2 linked regions of the Callithrix jacchus genome follow. The protein of the gene in region 1 purifies or fractionates together with the protein of each later gene. This does not show direct contact. Links are inferred from orthologs where the notes say so. Each region holds a gene or a part of one and is shown on either strand. Other genes may lie near its edges.

The links. The genes of interacting proteins can lie anywhere in the genome.
Region 2: the proteins of SOD1 (region 1) and TKT purify together in Homo sapiens (affinity purification with mass spectrometry; 3 studies listed by BioGRID, with this or other methods). This does not show direct contact. The link is inferred for Callithrix jacchus from reciprocal best matches to the Homo sapiens genes SOD1 and TKT.

Annotation. Positions count from the first base shown.
Region 1 is NC_133522.1:37,804,327-37,809,317, forward strand, and holds the start of SOD1 (superoxide dismutase [Cu-Zn]), read left to right. Parts: upstream 1-1,550; 5' UTR 1,551-1,633; coding exon 1,634-1,705; intron 1,706-4,991. UniProt on the Homo sapiens protein: Destroys radicals which are normally produced within the cells and which are toxic to biological systems.
Region 2 is NC_133516.1:35,779,024-35,783,561, reverse strand, and holds part of TKT (transketolase), read left to right. Parts: intron 1-2,862; coding exon 2,863-3,054; intron 3,055-4,538. UniProt on the Homo sapiens protein: Catalyzes the transfer of a two-carbon ketol group from a ketose donor to an aldose acceptor, via a covalent intermediate with the cofactor thiamine pyrophosphate.

The DNA.
Region 1 (4,991 bases):
TCAGACCATCTCAAAAGAAGAGTAATTCACCGTCCCAAAGCAGCTCTCGTGTCGACGGGTGGCTCCCTTGGCAAGTTTACAATGAACTGAAATCTGCTGAACTTCCTGGAACCCAAAGAAACTTCAGCCTTGGGCAAAGGCCATTTGGCAAGCGTTTGAACTGTTTATGTAACCGTCTAGAATATACTAATTATCTGGAAACTACTAAATACAACAAGCAAAACTACAATTATGTATACTTTCTGGAGGATGATCAAAAAATGTGAATTGTGTTTCTCTGATAGGGGATGCATTAGAGTCTGAGGGTCTAAATAACATAAATAATAAGTAAGTAAATACATAGATAATAGTGTACTCCAAACAAGGCTGGAGTAGCTTCTGTTGTTCATACTGGACTTGAATTAAGTCTCAGTATTTTGCCATGCTCAAAACTAAATGCTAGGCTGGACGTGGTAGCTCACATCTGTAACCCCAGCACTTTGGAAGGCCGAAGAGAGCAAATGGCTGGCTTGAGCTCAGGAGGTTGAAACCAGCCTGGGCAACATGGTGAAACCCCCGTCTCTACTCAAAATACAAAAATTAGCCGGGTGTGGTGTTGCATGCCTGTGGTCCCAGGTACTTGGGAGGCTGATGCAATAGGTTCGCTTGAACCTAGGAGGTCGAGGCTGCAGTGAGCTTGATCGTACCACTCCACTTCAGACTGGGCGACAGAGCGAGAATTTGTCTCAAAAACAAACAAAAAATTACCCCCCCCGAAAAAGTAGTTTGTACTATTTTCTCATTTCATAATATGCTTTTGAAATACTCCCCTTGAAAGATAAGTCATCTTTATCATCCTGTTTTATGGAGGGATCATAAATTATGTCATCATTCTATCCTTCTCCTTGAGTGTTGTGGCCTTGGAGCCAGACAAAAACGCAGGAGATGCGTAGAAGCCACCTAGTTACCGTTTTGGTTATCTGTAGGGCTGTGGTCCTGCAGAGGAAAAATGTAGGCGTATGGAATTCTGCCAACCAAATAAACTCTGTGCTAGGACTAAAAAAATTGCAGGGGAAAAAAAGGGGAGGCCGGGGATTGAGGTGTAACGACTTCCTACACCTTCAGAAAACTGAAAACCAAGACAAAAAAATGAAAACTACAAAAGCATCCATCTTGGTACGTCCCAATTTCTGAGTAACAAATGAGACGCTGTGACCAAAATCAGTCATAACTAATGACATTTCTAGATAAAGTGACTTCAGATCGCCAAGGCGTACCATGTGTACCTCATTTTGCCAATGTCGCGTCCTGCATTCGGCGGGCGACGCGCCCGTTTGGAGAAAGATGTGGTTTTTTTCCACGTTTCGGGTTTCTGGACCTTTCCGGGCTGTGGGGCGGGGGAAGTCTGCGGCGCACGCGGCCCCTTGGCCCCGCCCCCGGTCATTCCCGGCCACTGACGACCCGAGGCTGCGGCAGAAGGCGGGCTGAGCGCGCGCAGGGCGATTGGCTCCGGGCCAGAGTGGGTGGTGCACGTAGGTCCGGCCTATAAAGTGCCCGCGGCGCTCTCGCTTGGGTTTGCGCCGTTCTCTTCTGCAGCGTCTGTGGTTTCTCTGGCAGTCGTTGGAACCCGGATCCAGGCGTGGCCTCGCGAGTGATGGCGATGAAGGCGGTGTGCGTGTTGAAGGGCGACGGCCCGGTGCAGGGCACCATCAATTTCGAGCAGAAGGCAAGGGCCGGGGCGGAGGCTCGTGGCGAGACCTCTCCCGTCCGCTTGCCCGCCCACGCATCTGTACTTGGAGCGGGCCGTCAGCCAGGCCTCGGGGCTGTCCTGGTCCGGCGCCCGGCCCCGGCCCCGGCCCCGGTCGGTACCGCTCGGTCGGTGCCTTCGTCCACGGCGGTGCGGCGTCCGCTAAATGCTGAGTCACCGGGCGGGCCCGGGCCCGGGTGCGGGGTGTGGGACTGAGGCCGCCGCGGGGCTGGGCCTGCGCGTGGCGGGAGCGCGGGGAGGGATTGCCGCGGCCGGGGAGGGGCGGGGGCGGGCGCGGGCGTGCTGCCCTCTGGGGTCGGTGGACCCCCGCCGCTGGGTCGGTTGTGGTGCTTGGAGCCGCTGTGCTCCTCGCTTGCCTGGCCGTGTTCTCGTTCTGTGGGTCCCGTGGACGCCGAGTGTTCTCGTTCTGTGGGTCCCGGGGGTGGCGACTGCGCGGGGGGACCCCTGGTGTTCGCATCCTTCTCCATTTTCCGACTTCAGCGCTCTAGGTCAGGGAGTCTCCTCTTTTGTATACAGCTCCAAGGCTAAGAATATTTTTTATATCTTTAAAAGACTTTGGAAAAGAAAAATACGCAGCAGAGACCGTTTCGTATGGCACTTTGCAAGAAAGTTTGCTGACTGTTTTAGGTCTGTTCTAGGTCATGGTTGGGCTGCAAGGGTAGAGAAGGTAGCCTTGGACAGAGGTCCTTTTCCTCTTCCTAAGCTCCGAAAGCCAGAGATTTAACTGACCCTTTCGGGGATTTTCGAGGGCAGTGATTCTTAATTTTGGGTGCACAGTTACCTCATTTGAAGATCTTGGTAAAAATACAGACACCAGAGCCCAGCCTCAGACCAATTACATCCAAACCTGCCCTGGTGCAGGGTGAGTAATGCCAGGTTTTAGAAGTTTCCAAGGTGATTTCGATGTGCACCCACGATTTAGAACTGTTCTTTGAGGTCAGTGGGTGGGGTTTAGGGTTTGCAAATTAGAAGAATTGGAGTTTCCATTACACCGAATTGGCACTTAATAACTAGTCGGAGCATTTCTGAAGCCAACTTCTCTGTAAAGTGGCTTTAAAATTGCTCTGCCATTAGGCAGGTTGCTAAGATGGTCAGAGACAAACTTCTCAACGAATCTTGTAGGATAAAATATACAGAAATATTTTCAGAACTGTTATCAGTAAAATTGCAAAACGAGTTGCCAGAAAGGCGGTTGTGATAACAGTGTCCCCAGAACCTTAGCGAACTTACCAACTGGTGGAAAATTGTCTCGTACTCGGCTTAAAAATCGAGAGGATATTTACCGTATGAATGAGATTCCGTCTTTAAAGGGATGTACAGAAACAGGAGAGGACAGGAACAGTCTGTGTAAGTGTCTGAAATTTATGTGAGGGAGATACAAGTTTAGCTTTTTTTTTTTTTTTGAGAGAGTCTCGCTCTGTCGCCCAGGCTGGAGTGCAGGAGCGCGATCTCTGCTCACGGCACCCTCCGCCTCCCTGGTTCAAGTGATTCTTCTGCCTCAGCCTGTCCAGTAACTGGGAACTACAGGCGTGCACCACCATGCCCAGCTAATTTTTGTTTTACTAGAGGCGGGGTGGGGGGTTCACCATGTTGGCCAGGATGGTCTTCATCTCCTGACCTCGTGATCCACCCGCCTCGGCCTTCCAAAGTGGTGGAAGTTACAGGCGTGCGCCACCGCGCCGGGCCAGCTTTTTTCTTTCATAGGCCTCCAGATTTTCTGGAAAAGGTTCTTTGCCATTTGACTTCATTTTGCAGGTTTCATTTGTCACTTGGTTGTGTCCCTCTTGAGTTCTCCCCACATAATTCACCAGTACTAGTTTTAAGAGCCTCTGAGGAATCCCCTCTCCTGGGCCATTGAGAATCCGTGCGTGAACCCAGGTTTCTGTCATTTTCTCCCTTCCCTGAGCAGCTTGCAGAGTTCCGTCTCTTAAGCTCCAGGCTTCATTTGGTGATGCCCGTTGTACCTGAGAAAGACGCTTGGAGAGTGGAGCATTCCGGCTCTCCAGATATGCAGAGATAATTGGCTGTAAACTACTTGGCTTGGCCCATTCTATGTTTAAAATCTTGGACTCGTTGCCAGCTTTTGCAAATCAGAATTTTTCACCTATTAATTAAAACGCTCCTAGCTTCTCTTGGAGAGTTTTTGGAGATCTCTTCATACTGAGCCTTCACTGGCCCAAGGGCAGCACAGCTGGAGCAGTTCGTGTATTTTTTTCACTTCCCAGGCCTGTGTCATTCTCCTAAGTTAACAGCCTGGTCCCTGTAGGGTTGTACCCAGGCACAGCCGCTTACGTGTTCCCAATGCATTACCTGTTAAATGGAGGTTTGAAAGAACCTGCTCTTTTTGGCTCTGTGGTCTTAATAGAGTGTTTGAGGGACAACTTTTAACAGTTGAGTTCTTTTCAAAATTAAAGGTTGTAAAAGGGTCATGGCATCTGTTCTCAAAAAGAAAACAATTTTAAAAGGCAGCAATTGCCAGAAGACTTTGTTTGAGCAGTGGTATTTTCCAGTGGAAAGTCACCTCTTAAAGGCTAATGCTTCTTAATTGTTGGCCCTGCCTATTTGAAAACAAACCAAGCTAAAAACAAGAGACACTAACGTGTTGTATGACTGTGTCTATTTTAGTCAGATCTAGTTGTAACTTTCTTGATTTCTGTATATAGCCACGGAGCACCATTACCTGTCACCATTACTTGAATGGCGATCCTGTTTATCTTCGTGGTAGAGTGGAAAGGTTATCTAGGTTTCAGTGCGTGAAAAGATTTTAGAAAACACTAGTATCTCTGGTTAGACTGGAATAAGTCCTCTCCCACGGGAAGTGGAATAGGATAGTTTCTGACTGCGAATTAAGAATACGTGGCTGGGTGCAGTGGCTCACGCCTGTAATCCCAGCACTTTGGGAGGCCAAGGCAGGTGGATCACGAGAGATTGAGACCATCCTGGCTAACTCGGTGAAACCCGTGCTTACTAAAAATGTGAAAAATTAGCTGGGTGTGGTGGCATGCACCTGTAATCTCAGCTACTCAGGAGGCTGATGGAGAATCGCTTGAACCCGGGAGGTGGAGGTTGCAGTGAGCCGAAATTGCACCACTGCACTCCAGCCTATGCGGCAGAGTGAGACTCCATCTGAAAAAAAAAGAAAAAACAAAAACCTATGATGGAAACGTAAAAACACTCACTGAGTGGGGGAGTGGGGAGCAGGGGTCCTAGGGTTGCCTGTTGGACATTTCCAGGGTGCCTTTTC
Region 2 (4,538 bases), on another chromosome or scaffold:
TAAAAAATACAGAATGGTATTAAGAAATGAACATTTTCCGTATTCTTAACACACTGCCTCCCACCTCCGATTTAAATCTAATGATGTGTTTTGTCCATGTTATCATGAAAAAAGCTTACAAATTTGTAATCCTAGTGTGTGTGTGTGTGTGTGTGCGCGCGTGTAATATATATATATATAAAAGCAAATTTTACACTTTAAACCAAAAGCCTTCTATCATGAGCATTTTCTCATGACATTAACTGTGGAGAGCTGATTTTTGGTTTTTTTTTCTTTTCTTTCTTTTTTTTTGAGATGCAGTCTTGCTCTGTTGCCCAGGCTGGAGTGCAGTGATGCAATCTCGGCTCACCGCATCCTCCACCTCCTGGGTTCAAGCAATTCTCCTGCCTCAGCCTCCTGAGTAGCTGGGATTACAGGCATGCACCACCACACCTGGCTAATTTTTATATATTTAGTAGACGGGGTTTCACCATGATGGCCAGGCTGGTCTCAAACTCCTGACATCAGGTGATCCATCTGCCTCAGCCTCCCACAGTGCTGTGATTACAGGCGTGAGCCACTGCACCCAGACTGAGAGCTGGTTTAATGATCATGTAAAGTTCTGTTTTATGGAGATGCTATAATCCATCTAGCCAGCCCTGCTGTTGGACATGTAAGGTAGTTTCCAAATCCTTCTGCAACAAATGTTGACCTTCTGCTTAGGGTTCCTTCTCTTCATGTTAGTTCATGTCTGATGTTTGCAGCCCCCTACCCCTAACTCTAACAGCTCAGGCAATACCAAGCCTCAGGGTTAGCCTAGGCTCCTGTAGGCCCCCTTTCCTGTCCACAACCCCTTCCTTGGATTTTCCTCGGGACCTCAGAGCCTCCTCTGACCTGAGTCTGTTGGCCCTGTAGGGCTTAGCCTTGTGCCTAGTCTCAAAGCCCAAAGCTGTGCTGGGCCTCCCATGCTAACCTCAGTTTGGCTTCCCTGGAATCCCTTTCTGGGAAGTCAAGTTCCCTATAGGCCTCTCCGGTTCAGCCCCATCATGTGGCCCCTTTCTGGAGCTGCTGTGCCAGACTGGAGCCCCTCCAGGGTCTTGGCCCCCTCAAAACCCATAAGGGAAAGAGGAGGCGAGGCTGGGACAGAATGGGGCCTCTGAGGTGTGGGCCTGAGGCTTTGTCCTTTTGGCCATGGAAGCAGAGGCCTGGCCTGGCCTGGTGGAGGCCACAGAAGAGTAGCTTGAGGCAGGGGAGGCTGCAGGGAGCGCTCCCAACCTGCTGGCATGTGGAAGTGCTGAGTCATGCTGACTGCTCCGGGGGCTGGCTGGCCCTGCCTTGGCCCTGCAGCAGCAGACAGGCCTGGAGGCTTGAACTGCTGAGCCTGCAGCCAGGTTGAGGGCCTTTTACTGCAGGAGCAGGAGGGCAGCTGTGTCCCCTCTGAGCCCAACCAGGCACCAGCCTCATTTCCTGGGGCCACACAGCTAGACACTGGGCAGGGTAAGGGGAGGTGCCCAGGTCCCGCCACTCCTCACCCTATGTGCATGCCTACGCTGAAAGGAGCAGACATTCTGGCTGCAGTCGGGCCTGCGTTTGCATCCTGGCTCAGCAACTTCCTGACAGCGCGACCTTCAGACAAGTCCTGTGTCTGTTGATGTCATCCCTCTACCACCCCCATCCCCTCACGTCTCCCAGGCTGGGCTCAGAGTCCCTGAACTGGTCTCCCTTCCTCTAGCCTCACCCCCTCGCCCATCCCTCCCCTGGGGCTAGGGAATGTTCTGTGGTTCTGTTTGCTGGTAATTTATCCCAAGTTCAATGCTTTTTTTTTTTTTTGAGACAGGATCTTGTTCTGTCACCCAGACTGGAGTGCAGTGGCACGATCTCAGCTCACTGCAACCTCTGCCTCCTGGGTTCAAGTGATTATCCTGCCTCAGCCTCCCGAGTAGCTGGGATTACAGGCACCTGCCACCATGCCTGGCTGAATTTTTTTGTATTTTTAGTAGAGACGAGGTTTTACCATGTTGGCCAAGCTGATCTCAAACTCTTGACCTCAAGTGATCTGCCTGCTTCAGCCCCCAACATACTGGGAGTACAGGTGTGAGCAACCACATCCAGCCTGTGCTCTTTTTAACATGTCTCACTGTCTTGAAAAGATCACAGTTGCCTGTGTTGAGGGGAGAAGGCCCCTAGGGTAGAAAAAGGGCCAGGTCCAGCCTCAATCTTGGGGTCAAGGGCCCGCCATGCTCCATCCTCCGCCTGAGCCCTCTTGCTCCGTGGTGTTGCCTGGAGTGCCTCAGCCCTCCCTGGTCCAGCTCTCTCCTCCAAGCAGAAGCAGAGCTTGGTTCCCAAGGTTCCCTTTTTCCCATTGGACCACCCAGCTGTCCCAGGGCCTCCTCCAACCTCTGGTTCACAGTGGGGCCCGTCCCCTGCAGCAGGTGTCTCAAGCCCACCCACCCATTCTTGCTCACTTTCCTCTTGCTCCAGCAACCCCCATTTTTCTAGATCTTATCAGCCAGATCCCTGTTGTCCTCGACTTCTGTTTCTTAACAATCAGTACTTCTTTCTGAGCTCCTGACGGCTTTCTTGATGGCCATTTTCTCTTGGGGTGTGGCTGGGTGGGCTGCAGGGACCTGGTGACACTGTTGTGCTTTGAGTGTAAATACCGTCTGTTCTACATAGCCACACACGGCTGCTCCTTTACCCAGAGTACAGGCTCCTTGGAGGGGTGGGGGCTGGGTCCCGGACTGAGAGCTGGTTTAAGGATCATGCGATGTTCTGTTTTTATGAAGATGCTATAATCCATCTGCAGGCTCCTTGAAGGGGTGGTGCCAGGAGCCAGTTGGGTCCAGGTGAGAGGGACCAGGCTGACTCACTGTCTGTTCGCAGCTACCGAGTCTATTGCTTGCTGGGAGATGGGGAGCTGTCAGAGGGCTCTGTGTGGGAGGCCATGGCTTTCGCCAGCATCTACAAACTGGACAACCTCGTGGCCATTCTTGACATCAATCGCCTGGGCCAGAGCGACCCGGCCCCGCTGCAGCACCAGATGGATATCTACCAGAAGCGATGCGAGGCCTTTGGGTACGTATGAGGCTGTGGCCTAAGCATGGTCACAGTGTGGAGAGTGGTCTGTGATCGCAGCTCTGCAGGTGCAGGAGCTGAAACTGGGACCTTAAGCCCCATTTACAGGTCCCTTTCTTTAGCATTTGACTCACAATTTCAAACTCTAGGCATTTGGACCTAGCGGCTCAGGCCACCACCATGGATTTGTGGGCCAGGCCCAGTTTTAAGTGAGTTTCCTTGTTTTTGTGGTTGTGGCGTGGTGGTTCTCAGAGTTTCCACACATCATCTTACATAGGCTCACTTTATTCTTGAGGGAGGAGGTTTTTTTTTTTGGAGATGGAGTCTCGCTCCGTCACTCAGGCTGAAGTGCAGTGGCATGATCTTGGCTGACTGCAACCTCTGCCTTTAAGGTTCAAGCAATTCTACTGCTTCAGCCTCCTGAGTAGCTGGGATTACAGGTGTGCACCACCACACCCAGGTAATTTTTGTATTTTTAGTAGAGATGGTGTTTCACCATGTTGGCCAGGCTGGTCTCAAACTCCTGACCTCAAGTGATCTGCCTGACCTGGCCTCCTAAAGTGCTGGGATTATAGGCATGAGCCACCATGTGGCCGATGGAGGAAGGTTCTTAAGGGATGGGGGCTTGCTCAGTAAAGCTCAAGGACATATACCTATGGAGACATTTGAACTTCAGTTTGGGGGCTGCCTCCTGTGACCAGCCCCAGCCAGCCTGGGGAAGAGGAGCCAGGCCCCTGGTGAAATAGGAGAGAGGGTTTCCAGATGCCCGCCTTGGGCCTTGACTGATTACGAATTCAGGGTCAGGGGGCACAAAGTAGGGAGGTGGGTCTGCATGGGTGTCAGCCAGACGGGCCCACCTCAAAGCCTCCACTGTGGCCCCAAACAAGCTGCTCTGCAGAGGGACCCAGCATTGGCTGAGGCGGCTGGAGGGGAGGGAGCAGGGCAGGGGCTATGCAGGGCTTTGGGGCCTCAAGTCAGGCCTCCAGGGCTGCCTTTTGTAGATGAGCCCATGCCTGTGACTACACTAAATGACAAGATGCTTGGGGTTACCTTGCAGTAGCCTGTGTTCCCTGATGACTGACCTCAGAAAGGGACAGGAGGAAGGGGGGAAATCATCTCTGTTGGGCAGACGAGGAGACTGAGCCACAAGGTTCTCACCCCACAGGCATCCTCAAGGCCACATTGATCTGGGGACTCAGAGTAAAACCCCAGCAGCACCCCCAGGACCTGTGTCCATAACTTCATGGCTCAAGCCAGATTCCTGAAGTCCTGGCTCCACCACTAACTTGCTTCGTGGTGTGGGGCATGTTACTTACTCCACCTTCGGTGTCTCAGTTGATTTGTCTGTAAAATGGGGGGCAACTCAGCAACCAGGCACAGCATGATGAGGCTTCAACGGGCTAATATGGGTAGTGCTTGGCATGGCACCTGCAGAGGGAACATTCAGTTTGCGCGGTGCTATTTTTATTATGCCAGAAAGAGTC